Callithrix jacchus: one gene and its partners. The protein of the gene in region 2 interacts with the protein of the main gene of each other region in a pairwise test. Links are inferred from orthologs where the notes say so. Each region holds a gene or a part of one and is shown on either strand. Other genes may lie near its edges. The genes, in order: ATPase PAAT, CLTC and AP2B1.

Region 1 (3,653 bases), on a different chromosome or scaffold from region 2:
CTCCCTGTTAGTTACTGTGGATATATCCCTAAACTCCGCTTCCAGCCACTGAAGGTTCATTCCATTTCCCCTAATCCTGTGTTTCTAGATGTTCACAACATCCTTCCAGGGAAAGTCTTATTCACAGCTAAAACTCAATATTGCCAAAATTAAATTCCTTTTCCTCCAAGCATCCTCCTCCTTTGGGCTGCATTTATATTACTAGTATTGCCATCCTTAAAGCCTCAATTTCATGTTTAACTTGATTTTTCTATCATAATACCAGGATTAAGTTAGTTGTCAAATCCCAATGGCTCCATTGTTTTAACATCTCACAGTCCAGCATTACGTTACTATGTCTAATCTTGGACCCTCATTCACTCTCACCTGGATGAGGAGAATAACCTGCAGCTAGTCTTTTTTTGTAGTTTCACTTTCTTCAGATTCACCTTACATATGACAGTGGCTTAAAATTTCTTGAAAACATCTACAAATTTAAAGTAGCATTCAAAGCTCTTTATGATCTCGCTGAAATCTACTCTAAACTTCCCCTATTACTTTTTTGCTTCACAGAAATGAACTACTACTCATTCCCCCACTATATCAAATTCTTCTAGCATTGAAGATTTTAGTTCACCTTATTTTTCGTCTGAAATGGCTTTCTTCCAAATGTACTTGCCTAATCCCACTCTTCATTTTAAAGGCCTAGATAAAATACCACGTTCTTTAATGAGCCTTCCTTCTTAGTGTCTTTATCATTCCCCACTTACATGCTCCAGAATGTAAAAATTCTTAAAGACAGATTACAGACTAACTGATCATCTTTGCACACTCAAAATTGCTCAAAACAGTGCCTTGGTCACTGCGAAACAAACAAACAAACAAACAAACAACTTGCTGAATGAATTCATAAAAAGTGTGAAAATTTGTAGTCAAAACGCTCTGTAGAAAGGCAAATCTATAAAGATGTTAACTTCCATAAAACTAAAAGATAACAGTTAAATCAGTATAAAAGAAAAACTTTAAGTCACTACATTTCGTTACTAAAAGCAATCATTTTGCAATCTTTAATAGTATCTGGAAAGAACTCCATTTCTACTTACCTGCTGCTGAAACCTAACCATATCCATCAACTGCTGAGCTCCAGGAGATAACTTTGACCCCATGGACTCCATTATGGTTTGGACCTTGTGAAGGTCTATCCTTGATCCTAGAGCAGGAGAACTTGTTGAAGAACTTGCCAAAACTGATCTCATGTGTACCACAACTTTACTGATGAACACACACTGCCTTTCGCCAAAGGAGAGCAACTATTACAAAACAAAAGTCCAGAAAATAATATTAAAAACAATGATCACTTCTTGGTATCACCTAAACAAGAGTGAAGTATTCAAGAATCTAAAAATTAACTTCAAGTATATTTTAAAGTCTTCTCTAGAACACTATTTATTGAGGTTCAGATGAACTATTTAAATAAAAAAGTCCTTTCAAAAACTAAGACTTCATGTAAAATAACAAACGGAGTAGTTAAATAAATGTTAACTTATTTAAAGAACTAAAAATAAAATAGTAGTCTCTCTTTATCGGTGGAGAATGTGTTCTAAGACCTCCAGTGGCTCCCTGAAACTGTATATAGTACCAACCCCTATATTTTTTCCCATACACACATACATACATACCTATGATAAAATTTAATTTATAAATTAGGTATAGTAAGAGCTTAATAATAGAATAATTATGACAACATAATAAAACTTATGTGAATGTGGTCGCCTCTCTCTAAATCTTACTGGGCGATACTTAGCCTTCTTGTAATGATGTTACATGATACAATGCCTACATAACGAGATGAAGTGAGGCAAATGGCATAGGCGTTGTAACATAGCACTAGGCTACTCTTGACCTTCTGATGATACATTCGGCTAGTAAGTGGCTAATGAGCTGTAACATATACGGCAGGGACACACTAGACAAAAGGATGATTCATGTTCCAGGCACAACGGAGCAGGATAGCAATAGATTTCATCACACTATTCCAAACAAAGCACAATTTAAAACTTATGAATTGTTTATTTCTGAAAATTTTCATTTAATATTTTTGGACCACGGTTGATGGTGGGTAATGCAAACTGTGGAAAGTAAAACTTCAGGTAAGGGGGAACTACTATATACCAATCTGAGACCTTAACATACCACAGCTTGCTACTTACCACAAAATAAGGTTGTCCAGATGCCCACACAAAATGTTTACTGAAATAATAAGTAAAATTCAATCCTTCCAAATTCAGAACTATAAGAGAATATCAAAATGATGTAATACAGCTTGCTGGACTATACATAGAAATAGAGTTCAAGGGTGATAAAAGGACACTCAATTAGTAAAGGTCTAGCTTGAAACCTAGTTCTTCTGGCTTCTAGCCTAGTAGTTTACCAAACATTTTATCCTGTCCATATTTCTGAAACAAGAGACATTTCATGTGTGATACAGACAACAGAGTAGCAAAATGGAAAGGGAATGGGCTTTAGAATCAGACAAACCTGAGTTTAAATTGTGACTCTGGTACTTACAACCTGTGTAACCCTGCGCAAATGCTAAATCTGAGTCAGTATTAAAATGAGAGAAGATAGTAACAATGATTTCACATAGTGGTGAGGATTATATGTTAAAACTTCCAGTAGCTACCACTAAGTAAGTGCTCAAAAACCTGTATTGGTAACCATTTTTTTATTTGAACTTTCATATTGCCTCAGAACAAGCTTTCATATCAACCCTAGAGTCTCCCTGAAATAACCCTTTGTGCTTCCAGGTACTCCCATAGAACAGTTAAAAAAAATTCACCTTCAGAGACACACAAAGATCCACATGTCACACAAGGACAGAGGTCAATACAGACTCATGATCCAAGAACTCTTGAGTGTTGAAAAGATGTAACTGTCTTCAACATTTTAAGGAAATATCCTATTAACCTCCCACCTCAACCTATTATCCCCCCTTTCTCTTTTTAACCCCATAGCCTTTTTCACCATTGAATATAGTATTTGTTTTACTCAGTGGGTCTCCTTATTGTCTGTCTTGCCCCTACTAGAAAGAATACAAGCAACATAAGGGAAGACATCAGTTTATTTTCTTATTACTAATTCCTAAATGCCTGGTATAGTACCTGACATTAAGAAGCACTCAAATCTTTGTGGAATGAATAAATCACTTTACTCGAATGGCTTTTGAAGCTATTTAATATATACTACCCAAAACAACATCTTGGGATAATTAGTTCTGTGAGTTTGCTATCTGCTTGTAAAAATCACTTATTTTTCCTTATTGTAAAACTAAGTTTCAATCTTCTATAAGTAATGATAATAAGTACAGAATTTTAGAGATAAAAGGAATCCAAGATTTTCTTCAGCTCCCTCATTTTAACCATGAAATAGGTCCAAGATCTGCCCAAGACTAATCCACTAGTCAGCAGCAGAACTGAATTTAACATCCAGGGCTTAAGACTTTCAACTCATTACCTTATCCCCAGACTCTGAAGACATCACTAACAGTTAACCTGATATTTTTCGTGCTGAAGACAACAGTCCAGTCCCTTTAACTTCTCTTGCTTGAAACTTCTCTAATTTCATTCTTTTATAAATGGGGCCAAAACTGCTTATGGGTTTTTGCCACCGCAGTT
Region 2 (3,653 bases):
ATTATGTTTACCTGATCAACATCTCTAATCTGAAAATCCAATTTCTGAAATGCTCCAACAAGCATTTCCTTTGAACTCAAAAAGTTTTGAACTTTGATGCATTTTGGATTTTCAGATTAGGGACACTCAACCTGTATTTTCACTTTTTACAATTTAAACATCACTACATATTTTTCTCTTAAAATTCTACCTTTAATTCATCTATAAAATATCCAAACAGATGGTCTTGTTCACTGCATATCCTTAGGATCCAATATAAAAGGGCCTTGATGACATTATTATTATTATTATTATTTTTCCCTGAAACAGAGTCTCACTCCGTCGCTAGGCTGGAATGCAGTGGCGCAATCTTGGCTCACTGCAACCTCCGACTCCCAGGTTCAAGCAACTCTCCTGCCTCAGCCTCCAGAGTAGCTGGGATTATAGGCACGTACCACCACGCCCAGCTAATTTTTATATTTTTAGTAGAGATGGGGTTTCACCATGTTGGCCAGGATGGTCTCGATCTCCTGACCTTGTGATCTGCCTACCTCGGCCTCCCAAAGTGCTGGGATTACAGGCATGAGACACCACGCCTGGCAACATTTACTGAATAACAAAACTTAAAAAATTAAAATGTCCCATAGAACCAAATTTTTAGAAAGACAAAATTTCCAATAGCCTGATCATAAGCATACCTCTTCTTGGCTATCTTAAGTACTTTTTACAAACTCAAAAACTCCTAATTACCTTCAAAACTCTTGAAAGATTCAAAAAGTTCAATCAGAGACTGAGTTGACAGTTGTTCATGATATTTAGAAGCCACCTGAACACAGATCTGCAGATTCTGACGAATATTGGCAGACAGCATGGCTCTGAGACATTCTAGAGAGTCTTCTACTGATAAGGAACCAAAGTAATTCACTAACCACTACAAGACAAAATAAATGAATGAATGAATAAATGAAACAATGTTGAAACTCATGGAGGTATGAAATTATTAATATTTAGTACTACAAACACATTTTCAGTGTGCCTATTAATCACAACTAACACCATCTATTAGGTAAGAAACTAAAATACCTCAGGGTTAAGAAGATGGGTGTGAACCACTGCACGTTTTATATCATATAAATCAGTGAAGTGTTCTAATGCACGCTGCAGTAAGCCAGCCTTTTCACACAGCTGAGCGATATGAGCCCGGTCATAATGCGTGAACATCTGATTGCCTAGAATAGCATCTGCAACCTGTAAAACCACAAATAAGGTAAGTTTATTGTCCATCCCATTTATATGAGTAATTCAATATCCATATTACATATTAAGGTTTAATAGTGAACTGATAAAAGAAAGTACAAAAGAATATATAATAGCTAAATTTTCTTGTATAAGGAGTAGGCATCTCAGTAGCTTTGAATAACAATCTGAGATGCTCTGCACAATTATTAAAGCAATATTGGAAACATGCCTAAAAAACATTAGAACACATACTTGAGGCGCATGCATAAGGTTCATCTCAAGTAACCGCGTCTGTAAAGGACCTTCAGATGGGCGATTATTCTTCAGTGCATCAAGCAAGAATGCGGTACATTGCTGAATTAGATTGTATTCCATAAAGACATCTACAATCTGCAAAAAAAGAGATAAAAGAAATTGTTTAAAGATACTATGGAAAGTATGTAGACAAAATTATGCACAAACTCTTTCTTTACCTGAGAATTTATTTGGACACTATAAATGCTTTAAGAACAAATTTTGTCTTCTAGAGAACATAGTTACTTTGAGTTCTGATAAAAACAACTAAAATATTTCAAGATATTACATACTAGCAGAATAGAATCAAACAGATAGACCTTTATTTTTACGAACTTTTGAAAAACAATAACATAAACAATATGAAGAACTCTGAATTGGAAGACTCACACTTCCGGTATGCATCTCTTCCCTCTCCCCACACTTAGGAGCAACCACTATCCTGTTTTATCACCCCCATGTATTTTTTTTTTTTTAATAACTATTTTTCTATTTATTTGAAGCACAGTAAAAAAAGAAAAATTGGTACACTTTGGAAATTCAGTGGCACAAGGTACACTGCCATAACTTGAAGGACATTATACAGTAAAAAAAGAAAAAATAAGGAAGTAAGAAAAAAAATTATCCTGTTTCAAACAACTGCATTACATAATTTTACCTGCCCAAACAGACCATTTACAAATATTAGGTCAATAAACTACTAACATCCATAAAAAGATAGCTTTCTTACTAAAATGTCAGAATTTAAAAGATTGGTATCTAAACAAAAGACAAAACAAACTGGAATGAAAGCCTAGATATCACATCTAAAATCGGGGTTTTTCTGTTTGGGCCTTCGTACTCTTCTCTCCCTCTACCATATCCTGCTGGAGTTCCAGGCCCCATTCCTCTAGGACCCTGTCCACCCACAGGCCCCGCACCTCCTTGCCCAAAGTGCTCAGTACGCATGTCACTTCCTATCATGGAACCACTCATGGTTGCTGGTGGAACTCCAGGATTAGCTTCATAACCTATGCCACCACCACCACCTAGAGGTGGAAATTTCTGGCCTCCTGAACCATAGGGATCTCCCATGTTCATTGCTCCTCCGCCACCCATTCTCATGTCTCTTTCTCTTGGATCCATGTAGCCCATTCGGCTATAACTTTCCTCTCTTTGGCGCCTCATTTGTTCTTTCATCTCACGCTGACGAATCATCATCTCTTCCTCTCTTCTATGTAGTTCCTCCTCTTGCCTCAATTGCATTTCTTTACGTTTCTGCATTTCTTGATTATGAAGTTCTTCCATGCGTCTTAATTCTTCCTGTTGTCTCATCAGATCTTGGTGCAAAAGATTTGCCTATGTTCATGATAGGCATCTTCCATTTCACTTTCCAATTTGTCTTTTGCATCCTTCATATTTTTTTCATTTGTTCTCTTTGCTGTTTTTCCATTTCATCCAACGACTTCCATCGCTGAGAATATTCGTACTCAAATGTGCCATGCTGGGCAAAACGAGGAGTTTCTCCTTTTGATACATCGGATTCTTCTGCGCAAGTTTTTCAGGAAGACCATCTTCATCAGCTAGCTGTTCAAGTGGTTCCACGATGACTGGACGAGGAGTTGTTGTCAGCAAGAAAACATCTTCACTGCATCGTTCAAATGCCTTTCTTGCTGCTGGTTTAGAAGCAAATTCAACAATGCCTTTCCCTGTAGATCTTCCACGATCATCCACTATTACAACAGCCCTTTCAATAGGACCAAACTGGCTGAAGGCTTCTTCCAACAGTTCACTGGAAACGTAAGGTGAAAGATTATGAACAAAAAGGGCAGCAGCATGTGTGGCAAAGCGAACTCGAAGCTGTCTACCTCTCATGGGCGTATCATCGAGCTCAGCTTTGGCAATTTCAGCCAAAGCTCTGGATTCAGGCTTAATAAATCCGAATCCTTTGCCTTTGTTGATTAAATCTTTTCCAGGTTCTCCATATTTAACAAATAGTCTTCTGAATTCATCTTCCGTGATATCAGCAGGTAGATTCCCAACAAATAACCGACATCACTGTGTGTAAGTTTTCTCTCCAGGCCTCCTCAAGAGAGAGAAGTTGGCTTTAAAACCCCTCCGAGTCCGAGATTTTCTCCTTGCTGCGGCCGCTGGGCCCAACG
Region 3 (3,653 bases), about 4.5 Mb from region 2:
TAAAATTATTTCCAAGAGAAAGGCAATCCCTCTGGAAGGTAGAACAATGCATGAAACTTTGCTGAGGCCATCTCCTATTTCCACATGGTACTTTCATTTGAAAGCTGAAATGAAGTCACAGAGAAGCTGGTAGTATCAGAACACGTCATTTTCATCTAAGTATGCCCTTCATTAAGAGTCTATGTTCAATTTTCATGAATTATGAAAAGTGGAGTCAGCCAACTCATTTAAAAGCCATACAATTAGCTACAATTCAGTTGAACACATTAAAAGGCATTGTTTTAACATTTTAACAGGATCTAAAGGCCATACTTCCTTCAAATAAAACTTCCCCAAATGAACCCCCTAGGAAGAGTCATAATTTCCTACAATTTGAAACAAGACAAATCAACACCTCACTTTTTCCAGATTTCTTACCTGTGTTGCCAAACTCAAGACCTGCTGGACTAGCTCCTGTGTTTCTGATGGTTTCTTGAGAAACAGCTTCACTATGGCAGTAAGCAGAGTGAGCTGCACCTAAACAGATAATTTGATAGAGTGAAAGAATGGCACTGGCATCATTACCTGCCATCATCTCCAAAGTGGTGTTTCCGCAACTATGAATTACTATGGAGTCTTTCTGATGTTGGTTAAGAGAAAAAAGGTTAAAACTCATCAATATCAACAATAGCAGTCAAAAATATTCATGGGAAATACAAAGGTATTCAACTGAAAACTCTATCCTCCTATCCTCAAAATGCATTTTTGGCACAAAACACTGCTTGTTTCTAAGCCAGATAGTTACCTATGTTTATTATTCTTCTTATTATTATTAATTATTTTGAGACAAGGTCTCCCTCTATTGCCCAGATGCACATTTATGAATTGTAGCCTCAAATTCCTGGGCTCAAGCAATCCTTCTGCCTCAGCTTCCCAAGTAGCTGGGGCTACAGGTACAAGCCACCAAACCTCTTTTTTTTTTGTAAATTTTTGTATCTTTTTGTAGAGATGTAGTCTTGCAATGTTGCCAGGGCTGGTCTCAAACTCCTGGCTTGAAGCGATTCTCTTGCCATCAGCCTCCCAAAGTGCTGGGATTACAGACAAGAGTAACTGAGCCTGGTCTGTATTTCTTAAAGTATATGTTAACATACTGATGGTGATAAAACTGACTCCTGAGCAAGTCTTTTATTATTTACTTCTACCAAAAGCTACAATTTGGGGGGAATTATGGAATCATCTGTCATACTGGGGCAAGAGCCAAGACAGTAGAATTATGTCAGATTACAGACTATTAGGAGTTGGCTGCTAAATCACAAAGCTATTGACTTGTACATACTCCTTGATTTAGATCTATTAAAATTGTTATGATAAATCATATACATGATCTTCTACTTGCTTTGAGTACAAATGACAGACAAAAAGGGCTTAATAATTTATCTGCTTCTCGGTCCCATGGCTCTAATTTTGGTAAGGGAAAGTGAGAAGCAGTCTCAGAATTTTCATCCACAGATAATCTTTTCAAAACTCACCACAGCCCCCAGTGAAAATCCCTGCTATAATGAGCCACAGCTATTACTAACAGAAATGTGCAGTCATTCTTAGGTGACAGAAAATAAAAAAGCAGTGTTAACTACTACTCTAATCCAGTGGTTATGTATTGCCAGCCGTAGCGGCAGCAACATCCTGGACCTTGTAAGACATGCAAATACTTAGGCACATCTCAGACCTACTGAGCCAGAAACTCTAAGGCTGAAGCCCAGCAACTTGTGCTTTAAAAAGCTCCCCCAGGTGTTAATAATGCTCACTAAAGTTTGAGAAGTACTGGTCTGAGTTACATAGGTTTTGAATATTAGAAATCAGTAAAACTGGCCAGGCGCGGTGGACCACTCCTATAATCCGAGCACTTTGGAGGTCGAGGTGGGCAGATCGACTAAGGTCAGGAGTTCAAGACCAGCCTGGCCAATGTGGTGAAACCCGTCTCTACTAAAAATACAAAAAATTAGCCAGGTGTGATGGCAGGTGCCTGTAATCCCAGTTACTTGGGAGGCTGAGGAGGGAGAATCACTTGAACCTAGGAGGCAGAGGCTGCAGTGAGCCAAGATCGTGCCACTGCACTCCAACCCGGGCAACAAGAGCAAAACTCTGTTTAAAAAAAAAAAAAAGGCCAGGTGTAGTGGCTCACGCCTGTAATCCCAGCACTTTGGGACGCTGAGGTGGGTGGATCACGAGGTCAAGAGATCAAGACCTTCCTGGCCAACATGGTGAAACCCTGTCTCTACTAAAACACAAAAATTAGCTGGGCATGGTGGCATATGCCTGTAGTCCCAGCTACTCAGGAGGCTGAGGCAAGAGCATCACTTGAACCCAGAGGAGGAGGATGCAGTGAGCTGAGATCGCACTGCTGCACTCCAGCCTGGCACCTAAGCAAGACTCTGTCTAAAAAAAAAAAAAAAAAAAAAAAAAAAAAAAAAAAAAAATCAGTAAAACTGGCCAGGCACAGTGGCTCATACCCAAAATTCCAGCACTTTGGGAGGACGAGGCAGGTGGATCACTTGAGGTCAGGAGTTCAGGACCAGCCTGGCCAACGTGGTAAAACCTTGTCTCCACTAAAAATACAAAAATTAGCCAGGTGTGGTGATACATGCCTATAGTCACAGCTACTCAGGAGGCTGAGGCAGAAGAATTGCTTAAACCCAGGAGGCAGAGGTTGCAGTGAGCCAAGATTGTGCCACTGCACTCCAGCCTTGGCAATAGAGCAAGATGCCAACTAAAAAAAAAAAATTAGTTAAACCGAAAAGGGACATCCCTGTTGGGAGAAAAATGAACACACTATATATAAATACAGACACAGAAGAAACTGCCTATAACCTTTGCTTTCTCTGCAATCTCCCCAAAGACATAGAAAACTACCAGGATAGACAAAAGATAAGAACTTACCTGGGTGCTTTCATCGTGAAAACCCTCCAGGAAGCTTTCTAGTAACTCATCTGCATTGTCAATTCTTTCAGCATATTCTCCCACAATCCAAATCATAGCTGCTCGAGCATCTGGCTCATCTAGTGAGTCTAAGTTCTCACATAGAGTGGCAATGATACTTTCATACCTGATGTGAAAAAATGAACTATGGTTATTAAAAGCCAAACTAAGAATTATATTTAATAGTGAAGGTTAAAGGCAAAACCACAAACAAGGGACCCTAAACCAAACCACCAAACTGTAAAAGCAGTGAGGTTGCAGTGAGCCGAGATCACACCACCACACTCACTTGGGCAACAGACTGAGACTCTATCTCAAAAAAAAAAAAAAACAAAAAAACAATCAGAAGCTTTGGCACAAGATATCTCTATGAGTGTAATGCAACATAGGCTTAAGATGCTTACAAAACCTTCTCTTATTTCACTTTCAGATTCCTTAATTACTTGTTTTCAAAAATCAAATCTAAAAAAGTATTTTTGCTTCAAATACTAAGAGTGTTCAATCTAAAAAACTTGTGAAAATGTAGATTTTTAAAAAAATATTGTATGAGAGTAACTACAATACTTCAGAAACGGCATGAGACTGATACTTTGTTATAGGTTCTATAATTTTCTACAATGTAAGGTAACATGCAAAGTGAAGACCACAGCTGTTACCTTTCTGGTTTTTATGGTAGAGTGGCTATATGATATGTCATC

What was found.
Region 1: the proteins of CLTC (region 2) and ATPase PAAT interact in binary tests that used the Homo sapiens proteins (3 or more experiments, as listed by UniProt). The link is inferred for Callithrix jacchus from reciprocal best matches to the Homo sapiens genes CLTC and C10orf88.
Region 3: the proteins of CLTC (region 2) and AP2B1 interact in a two-hybrid assay, tested with the Homo sapiens proteins (2 studies listed by BioGRID, with this or other methods). The link is inferred for Callithrix jacchus from reciprocal best matches to the Homo sapiens genes CLTC and AP2B1.

The regions. Positions count from the first base shown.
Region 1 is NC_133513.1:116,313,690-116,317,342, forward strand, and holds part of ATPase PAAT, read right to left. Parts: intron 1,290-3,653; coding exon 1,083-1,289; intron 1-1,082. UniProt on the Homo sapiens protein: ATPase that regulates mitochondrial ABC transporters ABCB7, ABCB8/MITOSUR and ABCB10. Regulates mitochondrial ferric concentration and heme biosynthesis and plays a role in the maintenance of mitochondrial homeostasis and cell survival.
Region 2 is NC_133506.1:94,241,121-94,244,773, reverse strand, and holds part of CLTC (clathrin heavy chain 1), read right to left. Parts: exon of another isoform or gene 1,978-3,653; intron 1,609-1,977; coding exon 1,471-1,608; intron 1,228-1,470; coding exon 1,063-1,227; intron 911-1,062; coding exon 730-910; intron 1-729. UniProt on the Homo sapiens protein: Clathrin is the major protein of the polyhedral coat of coated pits and vesicles. Two different adapter protein complexes link the clathrin lattice either to the plasma membrane or to the trans-Golgi network.
Region 3 is NC_133506.1:98,757,211-98,760,863, forward strand, and holds part of AP2B1 (AP-2 complex subunit beta), read right to left. Parts: intron 3,083-3,653; coding exon 2,917-3,082; intron 517-2,916; coding exon 418-516; intron 1-417. UniProt on the Homo sapiens protein: Component of the adaptor protein complex 2 (AP-2). Adaptor protein complexes function in protein transport via transport vesicles in different membrane traffic pathways.